Linked DNA regions of Oryctolagus cuniculus. The protein of the gene in region 3 binds, or shares a complex with, the protein of the main gene of each other region. Links are inferred from orthologs where the notes say so. Each region holds a gene or a part of one and is shown on either strand. Other genes may lie near its edges.

Region 1 (3,741 bases), on a different chromosome or scaffold from region 3:
TTTAAAAAGGAAAATAACTTAGACAAGAGGAAGAGGAAAGAAAACCAAAGCAGGAAAGGAAAAAGAAGCCAAGGAAAAAATGAAGGCAATACATTTTCCAAAAGAAAATGAGAGCTTAAAAGGAAGGAAGATAAGGCAAAAGGAAAAAGGAAAGAAGTAAAATGGAGTAGAGGGGACATGGAAGAGGTGAGAAACAAGAAAAAGTGCAAGAACACTTTCCTGCCATATCCTAACTTCCATTCTCTCCCTTCACCGCGTTCGCACCACCTCGTGATTATAAAGTAAGCCTGCTTCCCTGCTGCACAGGCTTCTCAGTACAATCTCTTCCTTCTCACCTTGACCCTCAGACACCCCTCATTGTCTCAGTGTACTCAAAACTCTACCCCCCCAAAGTGTCCTGCTTCTCTTCCTTACCTCCTATGTAAACACTATCATTTCTGTCTCTCTCTCACACACACACACACACATACACCATAGTCTGGCTTTCCTTATCATGGTCTCTCCACCCTGCTTCCAACCCCAACGTGTAAAAACAGGCCTCCCTCCACAAACCAGGCACTTCCCACCCCCAAAACTCACACCCCTGCTTTGGGCATGCTACCAGGGGAAACACCTGCAGGGACATGCCCAGATGGCAGGAGGAGGGGATGAAGACACTCACTGGCATTACTATCGGCCAGGCTGTTGAGGCTACTAGAAATGTCCCTTCGCCGGAAAAGACAGACAACCTTTGCCTCCACATTTCCATTTGCAGTCTAAGAGAGGGGAAAAAAACGTAGCAGTGAAAATTGGTTATCTGAAAGTGGAAATGCACAGAGCCTAACAACATGGAATAAATTTCTAAGGGACCTAAGTAAAAGAGCTCAAGAAATTATAAGGATTTAATTCAAGGACAGACTTCCAAACCCCTTTCCTTTGCACCCGAGAGACAGATGAGGAAGACTCCCACTAAGCTCTCAATAGCCTGTCCTGTATGCACCCAATGAATGAATGAATATGAATGAGCACTCAGGTTAGTGGCCTCTCTTCCACCCGAACTTAGAGACCTCAAAGGAGCCCACTTGGGGGATGGGGAGGGGGGTCTATTCCACTCACCTTGTTGAGCTCCTCAATCCGTCTAACCAGGTAAGGATTGCTGGAGGAGTTCTCAAAATAGACGTAATCTGTAGGAGGGGGTGGGGAAGAACGGGAAGATGGGACAGCCAGTCAGGGTAGGAGGAGAGAAAACCGCCCGCGTCGACCAAAAGTGGGTAAGGGTCCAGGCAGGGGAGGCTCGAGTGTGGACAGGGGCAGACTAAGATGCCTCCACCTTGCCGCATCGGATTCTAAATCACACCCTTCGCTCAAAAGTGAGCCTTCAGGAAAAGACAGGCAGCAGTTTCCCCCAACTCAGCGATGGAGTTGCACTCCAGCCCCGGCGAAGTGAACAATTGTTCGCTCCAGCACCCGGCCCCCGCCTTGGCGGAGCGAGGCGCACAATAACGCCCAGGGAGAAGAAACCTCAGGCTGCTCCCCGCAGGTAGCACAGCCGTCGCCGCGGGCCCCCCGCCCCCGGGGCCCCGTCCCTATCCTGTCAGCTCCTTCGGAACCAGTTTCTCAAGCCCACTCCCCGCCCCAGGGGCCCGCGGTGCCGCACTCCGAGTGCCGTCGGGGCTGCCCGCAGCCTCTCCCGACCCCCGGAGCCCGGCCGCGTCGCGGTCCCCGCACCCTCGCTCCCCGGGCTCCCGGTTCCGGTTCCGGTCCGAGCTCCGGTCCACGCCGCCCCAGACGCGGCTCCCTGCGCCGCCGAGTGCCCGGCCCCCCCTGCCCCGGGCCCCGCGCCCCTGCGCCCGGTACTCACCCCCCACCCGGTACATGTTGGCCGCCATGGCCGTTCCCGCCGCCGCCTCCGGCCGCACAAAGGGGTCCGGGAAGCTCGCGGGGGCAGGGCTCGGCTCGAGGCGAAGCCCCGAGAGCCGGGCCGGCGCTCTGGGAGAGTCTTCCTGGGGTCCGCGCAGCCGGCGCCTCCGCTGCCTCAGCCGTCGCGGTTCATCCCGGCCCGCGCTGTCGCCGCCGCTGCTGCCGCCTCAAGCCCGGGACGCCGAGGCCGGCGCCGGTCCGCTCGGCTTCTTCCGGAACGAACTCGGCTCCTGCCGGACCGGAGCCAGGCTCCGGCTAGCCGCCCCCCCACCCCCACCCCCGACCTCGACCGGTCCCACCAGACGTTGAGCTCCGCGGGCCCAGGGGAGGCTAGCCCTGCCCGCCTCGGGATTCGCCTTCTTCCGGAACACCTTCGGCTGATCGGAGAACAAGGCCCGGCGCTCGGCTCAGGTCGGAGAGCAAGACCCCACAGATCGGCTACTTCCGGAATGAGCTCGAGTGGCTTCGGCCAACCGCGGCCCGTCCCTCGGTTATTTCCGTTGCAGCTCGGGACCGCCCCCTCCCCGAGGGCGGGGGAGGAGGCGGGCTTAACCCTTCCCTCGCAGGAGTCTGCGGCTCCGCCTGACGTCCCGCAAGGCGCGCGCGCCCTCGCGCTTCGCCGGGCGGTCTGCAAACAGCTTTGCCTACCATTTGCATGAACGGCCTACGGGCGCTTTCCACACTCCTCTTCGCCTCCATCCCACCCCTCGGGGTCCCTAGGGCACCCAGCTGCGCCCCACAAAAGCACAGGGAGGCGACTCTGGTTTTGGTTTATTGCCCCTCAGCAGGCAGCAGGAGTCAGGACCCAGGCTGGGGCGGCCCGGCTCGGCCAGCGGGTCCCTACAGTGTGTGCAGGGGCGATCGCCCCCCGGGGAGATGCGCACTTGGGAATGTCTCGAAGTCGAGGAAAAGGGGCCGGCCAGTCGGTCCGGTCCGGCAGCGATCAGACGTCCAGAGAGGAGGCGGGGGACAGGGACGGGGTCCGGGAGGGCGTGGCGGCCGCCGGCCCCGCGCCCCCAGCGCCCAGCACGCGCCACTGGAAGATGCTGGCGTCCTTGCCGCCTAGTGAGACGAGGTACGAGTCGTCGTGCGTGAACCGGACGCTGGTCACGTGGCTGCCGTGGCCCCCGTACACGCGGCTCGGCGCCTGGCGGGGAGGGGAGGGTGAGCGGCAGCGCCGTCCGGGCCCGCCCTGGCCCGCGCCCCCGGCGCCCCGGGCAGCCTCACCTTGGCGCGCGCGCACGGGTACTGGAAGAGGTGCACTTTGCAGAAGTCATCGGCCACAGCCACCACGCGCTCGTCGTGGGAGCGGCACAGCGAGTTGATGTCGGTCCCGTCGGAGCCGTCCGGCCACACGCCTAGCACAGCGACGGCCTCAGCCCGGCCCCCTGCCCGCCACCACCCGCGGCCCAGCGTAGCCCCATCTCTGGCACTCGCTGCCACCAACAACCGGCCGCCTTCCAGGCAGTCCTTCCTGGTCCCGAGGGCGAAGGGGTAGGGGGCCCGTGGGCTGGGTCCTCCGCAGGTTCTCCGAACACCCGCCCGGCGTGCCGAGCCCACAGCGGGCTCCACCTCGTCCCGCTCGGGCCCCCCACCCCTGCTCACCGTACACGTGGAAGCCCAGCACGCAAGTGTAGGTGGCCCATTCCCTGTCTCGGCTCTCATAGCGATTCCTCAGCAGCTTGCAGCCTCCAGCCACGTCCCCTGGGGAGACAGCCGGCCCAGCTCAGCCCACCCTGCCCGCAGCTGGAAACATGCCCGAGAAGGCCAGGATGGTCAGACTGGTTTGAGGTGAGGCTCTGGCATGCGAACTGGTCCCTGTGCTCACTTCCGCCCCGCCCA
Region 2 (3,741 bases), on a different chromosome or scaffold from region 3:
TAGGGACGTCGAAGGCGGCCAGGCCGTCGCAGTCCCCGGCCTGGGTCGGGGGGCGAGGTGGCTATGCTGGGGGGAGCTCCCGGGGCACCTAGGCCTGCGCCCGCCCGCGGCTCCCCACACCCACCCGGCCGGCTCCCTGCCCCCTTCCCGTGGCTCCCCACACCCACCTGGCCTGCTCCCCACGCCCTCCCGGCCGGCTCCCCATGGCTCCCCGTGGCTCCCCGCCCCCTCCCGGCCAGCTCCCCGGGCCCTCCCGGCCGGGTCCCCGTGGCTCCCCGCGCCCTCCCGGCCTGCCCCCCATGGCTCCCCGTGGCTCCCCGCCCCCTCCCTGCCTGCTCCCCGTGGCTCCCCGCACCCCTCCCGGCCGGCTCCCCGCGGCACCCCGCACCCTCCCTGCCTGCTGCCCGGGCGGGCACAGGGCCGCGCTCACCTTGTACCCGTTCAACACGGTGTTCAGCAGCCCGGAGCCCGAGTCCTCTGGCGGGAGGGAGGGGCAGGGTCAGCGCCCATCACGCAGTGGCCTTGGCCATGGCCGGGCTGTGGCTCCGCCCCCACGCCCCGCCCACCTCTCTTGGCTTTCTTCTCCTGGATTTTCTCGGCGCACATCTGGTAGGCCTCGGACTGCTGGTAGGCCCGCAGCTCCCGCATGTACTGCTGCTTCTCGCGCTCCGCCTCGTCCAGGTACCGCTGCGGGTGGGCGGGCAGGTGGGCCCGAGCCCCGCCCCGCCCCGCCCCCGCTGCACCCTCGGTGGCCCCGGCCCGCACCCCACTCGCAACAGGCGCAGACCAGCGCTGGCCTCCGTCGGACCCGCCTGGGTTTTCCACATTTAAACTAACGCGCAAATCTGGGTTCAGCAGAGACCCGGCCCTGTCCGACCGGGCGGGCGCTGACCGAGGCCGGTGCCCCCTTCGGCCCTGTCCAACCCGGGCGGGCGCTGACCGAGACCGGTGCCCCCTTCGGCCCTGTCCGACCGGGCGGGCGCTGACCGAGGCCGGTGCCCCCTTCGGCCCTGTCCGACCCGGCCGGGCGCTGACCGAGGCCGGTGCCCCCTTCGGCCCTGTCCGACCCCGGTGGGCGCCGACCGAGGCCGGTGCCCCCTTCGGCCCTGTCCGACCCCGGTGGGCGCTGACCGAGGCCGGTGCCCCCTTCGGCCCTGTCCGACCCCGGCGGGCACCGACCGAGCGAGGCCAGCCAGGGCGCGCCGGGGCCCCTCGGCCGCCGCACCTGCTTCTCCGCCGGCTGCAGCTTGCTCCACTCGGCGCCCAGCATCTTCGTGATCTCGGGGAACGGCAGGTCTGGGTGGCGCGTGCGGATCTGCTCCCGCCGCTCGTTCAGGAAGCGCACGTAGCCGGTGACCGGCGCCTTGGGCCCGTTCGGCAGGACCTTCTTCCGCTTCTTGCCCTTGGGCCAGCCGCGCTTCCTGACCGGCTGCGGAACGGGGCGCGTGGGCAGGGGCCGGGGCCCCGAGAGGGCCAGGCTGGAGGAGGACCAGGTCCAAGGGGGCCTGGACCTGGGCAGGCGGACCGCGGGTCCCCTGGGGGTGTGGCTTCTGATTGTGGGCGTGGCCTCTGACAGAAAGAAGCGCTTATAGGCGGCCCAAAGGAAAGCTCCGCCCAAAGGGCGGGGTCACCGGGATGTGGGCGGGGCGAGGGGGGATAGTGGGACAGTGTTCCCCGGATACCGGGCAGTGGGCGGAGCCACAAGACTTGCACACGGGGCGGGCGGGCCCTGTGCTCACCTCCTCCTCCTGGGACCCCTTCTCGCCGGCCCGCGGGCCCTCGGCGCGCTCCTGCTTGACCGCGACCACGAAGCCCCCGTGTGGGCCCGGAGCCCTGCCGCCCGCCGGCCTGCAGCCACGGGGCACGGGGTCACCAGGGTCACGCCGGCCCCTGGAGCCCAGACCGCCGCCCGCCGGGGTCGGGACATGGGCAGATCGGGGAGGGGACGCAGAGGCGGCCTTGGGAGGACGGAGCCCAGCCGGGGGGCGCGGGCCGGGTCAGGACGGGAGCCCGAGGGGGCCTAGGAAGGAGCGGGGCTGGGGAAGGGGTGGAGGCGGGGCGGGGGCAGGAGGGGCTGGGGAGGGGGCCGGGGCAGGGCGCAGGCCGGGCTGGGGAGGTGGCGACCCGGGAGAAACCCTCCAAGGGGGCAGGGCGCTGGGGCGGGGGCGGCGCACTCACGCGGCGGCCGCGCCGGGCTGCTTGGGGCCGTGGGACATGGCGGCTCCGGGCCGGACCTGCAACGCAGACGCGCGGCGTCGGCGAGGGGCGCCCGGGACCCCGGGGGGTGCGCTGGGGGCGGGGACGCGCTCGAGGGCGGGCGCCGGGGGCTCCTTTGTTGGGCGATCGCCGCCCCCGGGGGCCCGCCCGGCCCCGCCCCCGGCCCGAGGCGGCCCCGGCCGCGCCCCGCGCCCCCCGCGCCCCCGCCCTGCGCGGGACCCCGACTTCCGCGCGGCTTTCACCTCCACAGAAACTTTCCCGGCCCTGGCGGCCGCCGCGACGCGCCAACCAACCGCCCCCGGCATGCTAATGAGGCCCCGGCGAGCGGCCCGATTGGCCGGGGCCCGCCCCGGGGGCGTGATCATGTAGATGAGGGTCGGCGCGCCGCTCGGCGATTGGCCGCAGCGGCTGCCGAGTCGCCGGGGAGGCGGGCCGGGGAGGCGGCGGGCGGCGCGTCAAGTTCGGCTGCGCGAGGCCGCGCTCGGGGCCAATCCCTGGCGTCCGAGGCCGCGCGGGGCGGAGCCTCTTAAAGGGCCAGCAGGCGCGCGCGGATCCGGGTTCGGCCCCGCCCCGGTTGCCGTGGGGACGCAGGGGGTCGCTAGGGCGAGGGGGCTCTGGTTCTTAGCACCCGCAGAGCTGGGGAGGGGGCCAAACCCGCCGTGGCCGAGAGGCTGGAGCGCTGCGTGGCCGAGACCGGGCCTGGGTCAGGCGGGGGCTGGACAGGCGACCTGGGCCGGGGTCAGGCGGGGGCTGGGCAGGAGACCCGGGCCGGAGTCAGCCCCATCTGCACGGCCGTCAGTCCTCGGGCACCCTGGGCACCTTGGCCGCCCCCCGCCCCATCTGCCTGCTCACGCACAGGTCCTCGCACAAACCAAGGGGCGAGTCCGGTGTCCACGGGGCGGGTGCGTGGGTTTGGGAGCGGCTGGCGCTCACGGACGGTCAGCCCGGCAGTCCCGGGGTGCGGCTGCGGGAGAACCTGCGCGAGGCTCCCCGCAAAACGGGACAGACGTCTGCGGCCCGGAGTGCGGGGCCGAGTACTTGCGGGCCCCGCAGACGTCACGCCGGGGAGCACGAACGCGCGTGGGGCCCCACGGCCGGGCAGGGGACTCCGCGGGGACAGGAAGGGGGCGTGGTCGCCGCGGCCTGAGGGAGGGGCTGGGCACTGCCTTCGGGGGTGACGAGAATGTTCTAAATTTAGACGGCGCAGACTGGAATCCACGGACGCCCTGAGGCTCTGCTGCGGGGCCCCGCCTCCTTGCTGTGATTGACAAGGCTGCTGTTGCCGTAGGAACTGCCCTGCGGGCCCCGCCTCCGAGCCGTGATGGACAGGCTGGCGTTGCCGTAGGAACTGCCCTGCGGGCCCCGCCTCTGTCCGTGATGGACAGGCTGGCGTTGCCGTAGGAACTGCCCTGCGGGCCCCGCCTCCGTCCGTGATGGACAAGGCTGGCGTTGCCGTAGGAACTGCCCTGCGGGCCCCGCCTCCGTCCGTGATGGACAAGGCTGGCGTTGCCGTAGGAACTGCCC
Region 3 (3,641 bases):
GTGTTTTTCTTTTAGAGTTACATTTCTTTTAGGTAGAGAGATAATCTTGGGCTCAAGAAATAACCCAGAAAGACAGATTGCTGTAAAAATTCCTGGGTTCTCCTGGGAGTATGTGTCTAACGGTCATCAGAACTCTCCCTGTTCTTCAGGTGATGTTGGGAATTACTACTATGGACAAGGCCATCCAATGAAGCCTCACCGGATCCGCATGACTCACAACTTGCTGCTCAACTATGGTCTCTACCGGAAAATGGAAATCTATGTGAGTTACTTACTGCGAGTGTTCCCCTCTGTTACCTCATCAGCTCTGGTCCCCCAAATGCCATTTACTATCTGATTTTCTAAACCATGCACTCATTAAGCAAATGTGGGCATTGGCCTATCAGTTAAGATGCTTGTGTTCCACTTCGGAGCACTTGTATTCAATTCCCAGCTGCAGGAGACCCCCATATAAATAAATCATACTGCAGTGTGTAAGAGCAACAGTTTAGAAAATGTGCAAGATGCAGAGATAATGAGGAAGGAAGGAGGAAAGGGGGCTTGAATTGATTCTAGGAAGTGATATATGAGAAATTTTAAAGATTGAATAGAATTTAGCCTGGAGGGGCTGGTGTTGTGTAGTGGGTAAAGCCACTCCCTGCCAAGCTGGCATCCCATATGGGTGCTGGTTCATGTCTTGGCTGCTCTACTTGTTTGTTTATTTATTTTTAAGATTTACTTATTTATTTGAAAGGTAGAGTTACAGAGACAGAGAGAGACAGAGACAGAGAGAGACAGAGAGAGGTCTTCTGTCTTTTGGATCACTCCCAAAATGGCTGCAATGGCTGGAGCTGGGCCAATCTGAAGCCAGAAGCCTGGAGCTTCTTCTGGGTCTCCCATGTGGTTTCAAGGGCCCAAGCACTTGGGTCTATCTTCTACTGCTTTCCAGGCCATAGCAGACAGATGGATTGAAAATGGAGCAGCCGGGACTTGAACCAGCATCCCATATGGATGCTGGCACTGCAGGCGGCAGCTTTACCTGCTATGCCACGGTGCCGGCCCCTGCTCCACTTCTGACCCAGCTCCCTGCTAATGTCCTGAGAAAAGCAGCTAAACATGGCCCAAGTGCTTGAGTCCCTGCCATCAAGTAGGAGACCCAGATGAAGCTCCTGGCTCCTGGCTTCAGCCTGGCCCAGCCCTGGCCATTGCAGCCATCTGGGGGGTGAACCAGCAGATGGAAGAGCTCTGACTTTGAAATAAATAAATAAATCTTACAAAAAATTATCCTTGAGTTCAGGAGGGGACTGGTAGGGGGAAGAATATATGCAGTATATGCATATGCATATTATATATGCAAAAAGGCTGAGGTATTTGAGGAAAAATCCGTTTTTTTTTTTTTTTTTTTTGTTTTGTTTTTTTTGACAGGCAGAGTGGACAGTGAGAGAGAGAGACAGAGAGAAAGGTCTTCCTTTGCCGTTGGTTCACCCTCCAATGGCCGCCGCGGCCAGCGCGATGTGGCCGGCGCACCGTGCTGATCCGATGGCAGGAGCCAGGAGCCAGGTGCTTTTCCTGGTCTCCCATGGGGTGCAGGGCCCAAGCACCTGGGCCATCCTCCACTGCACTCCCGGGCCACAGCAGAGGGCTGGCCTGGAAGAGGGGCAACCGGGACAGAATCCGGCGCCCCAACCGGGACTAGAACCCGGTGTGCCGGCGCCGCTAGGCGGAGGATTAGCCTAGTGAGCCGCGGCGCCGGCCGAAAAATCCGTTTTTATGTGTAGGGATACAATGTGAATTCACAGACGTGAGGCAGGGCGTAGAGCTGGAGAGGTCAGCCAGCGTTGGATGTGCTGTGCTAAACCACTCTTGTAGGCCAGGGTCGGAAATCCAGTGGCTAAAAAAGGAGTGACTGGGGATCGTGTTGGACAAGTTGCCAAGTCTGTGGTTACGAGAGAGTGTAGGCTTCTGTCTAACCACCAGTCTCAGCTCCACTTGATTCTACCTGGTCTTCCAGATTTTAAGAAGCTGGAAATCCAAATTAGTATGCAAAACCTCCTCGGTTTAAAATGTTGGCACAGGGTTTTTGTTTTAAATGTTTGTATATAAAACACATCAATACACGTGCGGACCAAATGTGGTTCGGTGGTTCCCAATTTAATCTGTTCTGGAGGTGGTGGGGGAAAAGTGAAAGGTTTTAAATAAAAGATATAAGAATAGATAGGCATGTATTTTACAAGCAGGTAGGCCACTTAGGAGCCTGTTGCTAGAGTCCAAGTGAGAAAATAAAGAGGGGCTGGGGGCCCATGTTGCTTTATGGCGTGGTGCCTGCTGTTAAAGGCTGTACTGACAGTTTGAGTAACCTAGCAACAGCAGCATCCTTCTCACCATTCCAGAGACTGAAAGGAGATGAGTCTTCTGTCCCAGATGGCTTTGTCGTGTCTCTGGAGCTGGTGGAGCCAACTGGGGAAGGTAGACAGGGCGAGCAGACCTTGGGACCACAGTGCTTTATCAGGTGTGAAGAACAGGTGGGGAAGAAAGCATACAAGGCAGCAGAGGTTTTCAGGAACTCTGGGGAGCCGCCTAGCTCTTTCTATCAAGGAGAAAAACTCCCCAGGAGCTTCCCAATACACTCCCCCTTACCTCCCATCATCTCATTCCTGAGACCACTCACCAGTGTAGACGGATAGAATTACCAGAGCTGGCCTAGGCTAATCATGATTCTATTCCTAGGGCTGGGTACATTTTGTTACCAAGGAAGAAGGAACAGGATGGCTCTTTGGGAAGCAACCAGTAGTAACTTCCTTATGGGAGGTGAATTTCCCTGTGGTGTTCTTATAAACTTTTTTTTTTTTTTAAGATTTATTCATTTATTTGAAAGACAGAAAGGCAGAGTTATGGACAGAGAGAGGGAGAGACAGAGAGAGAGAGAGATCTTCTATCCATTGGTTTACCTCCGAATGGCTGCAACAGCGTAGCTAAGCCAGTCTGAAGCCAGGAGCCAAGAGCTTCTTCCTGGTCTCCCACATGGGTGCAGGGGCCCAAACACTTGGGCTACCCATCCTGCTTTCCCAAGCGCATTAGCTGGGAGCTGGATCAGAAGTGGATTGAGGCCGGCGCTGCGGCTCACTAGGCTAATCCTCCACCTGCGGCACCAGTACCCTGGGTTCTGTCCTCGGTTGCTCCTCTTCCAGTCCAGCTCTCTGCTGTGGCCCAGGAGTGCAGGGGAGGATGGCCCAAGTGCTTGGGCCCTGCACCCACATGGGAGACCAGGAAGAAGCACCTGGCTCCTGGCTTTGGATCGGCGCAGCACGCCGGCCATAACGGCCATTTGGGGAGTAACCAACAGAAGGAAGACCTTTCTCTTTGTCTCTCTCTCACTGTCTAACTGCCTGTCAAAAAAAAAAAAAAAAAAAAAGTGGATTGAACTGGCGCCCATATGGGATGACGGCTCCACAGACAGCAGCTTTACCCACTGTGCCATGGTGCCAGCCCCTATCATAAACTTTTAAAGGAAAAACCTAGTATCATCTCTCTTCCCTAATGCTAGACCTGTTGTCTTTCTCCCCCCCCCCTTTTTTTTTTATGATTTACTTATTTATTTGAAAGTCAGAGTTACAAAGAGGCAGAGACAGAGAAAGAGGTCTTCCATCCGCTGGTTCACTCCC

The links.
Region 1: HDAC1 (region 3) and MTA2 share a complex: the UniProt entries of both Homo sapiens proteins name them as parts of the nucleosome remodeling and deacetylase (NuRD) repressor complex. The link is inferred for Oryctolagus cuniculus from reciprocal best matches to the Homo sapiens genes HDAC1 and MTA2.
Region 2: HDAC1 (region 3) and HMG20B share a complex: the UniProt entries of both Homo sapiens proteins name them as parts of the BHC histone deacetylase complex. The link is inferred for Oryctolagus cuniculus from reciprocal best matches to the Homo sapiens genes HDAC1 and HMG20B.

What each region holds. Positions count from the first base shown.
Region 1 is NC_091432.1:8,952,941-8,956,681, reverse strand, and holds the start of MTA2 (metastasis-associated protein MTA2), read right to left. Parts: upstream 2,283-3,741; 5' UTR 1,869-2,282; coding exon 1,841-1,868; intron 1,164-1,840; coding exon 1,096-1,163; intron 756-1,095; coding exon 662-755; intron 1-661. Other genes in the region: EML3 (echinoderm microtubule-associated protein-like 3), read right to left, coding at 2,616-3,046, 3,127-3,147, 3,505-3,603. UniProt on the Homo sapiens protein: May function as a transcriptional coregulator. Acts as a component of the histone deacetylase NuRD complex which participates in the remodeling of chromatin.
Region 2 is NC_091447.1:59,467,633-59,471,373, forward strand, and holds the start of HMG20B (SWI/SNF-related matrix-associated actin-dependent regulator of chromatin subfamily E member 1-related), read right to left. Parts: upstream 2,556-3,741; 5' UTR 2,523-2,555; coding exon 2,460-2,522; intron 2,235-2,459; coding exon 2,179-2,234; intron 1,849-2,178; coding exon 1,740-1,848; intron 1,430-1,739; coding exon 1,226-1,429; intron 688-1,225; coding exon 567-687; intron 478-566; coding exon 431-477; intron 41-430; coding exon 1-40. UniProt on the Homo sapiens protein: Required for correct progression through G2 phase of the cell cycle and entry into mitosis. Required for RCOR1/CoREST mediated repression of neuronal specific gene promoters.
Region 3 is NC_091438.1:140,171,670-140,175,310, reverse strand, and holds part of HDAC1 (histone deacetylase 1), read left to right. Parts: intron 1-149; coding exon 150-262; intron 263-3,641. UniProt on the Homo sapiens protein: Histone deacetylase that catalyzes the deacetylation of lysine residues on the N-terminal part of the core histones (H2A, H2B, H3 and H4).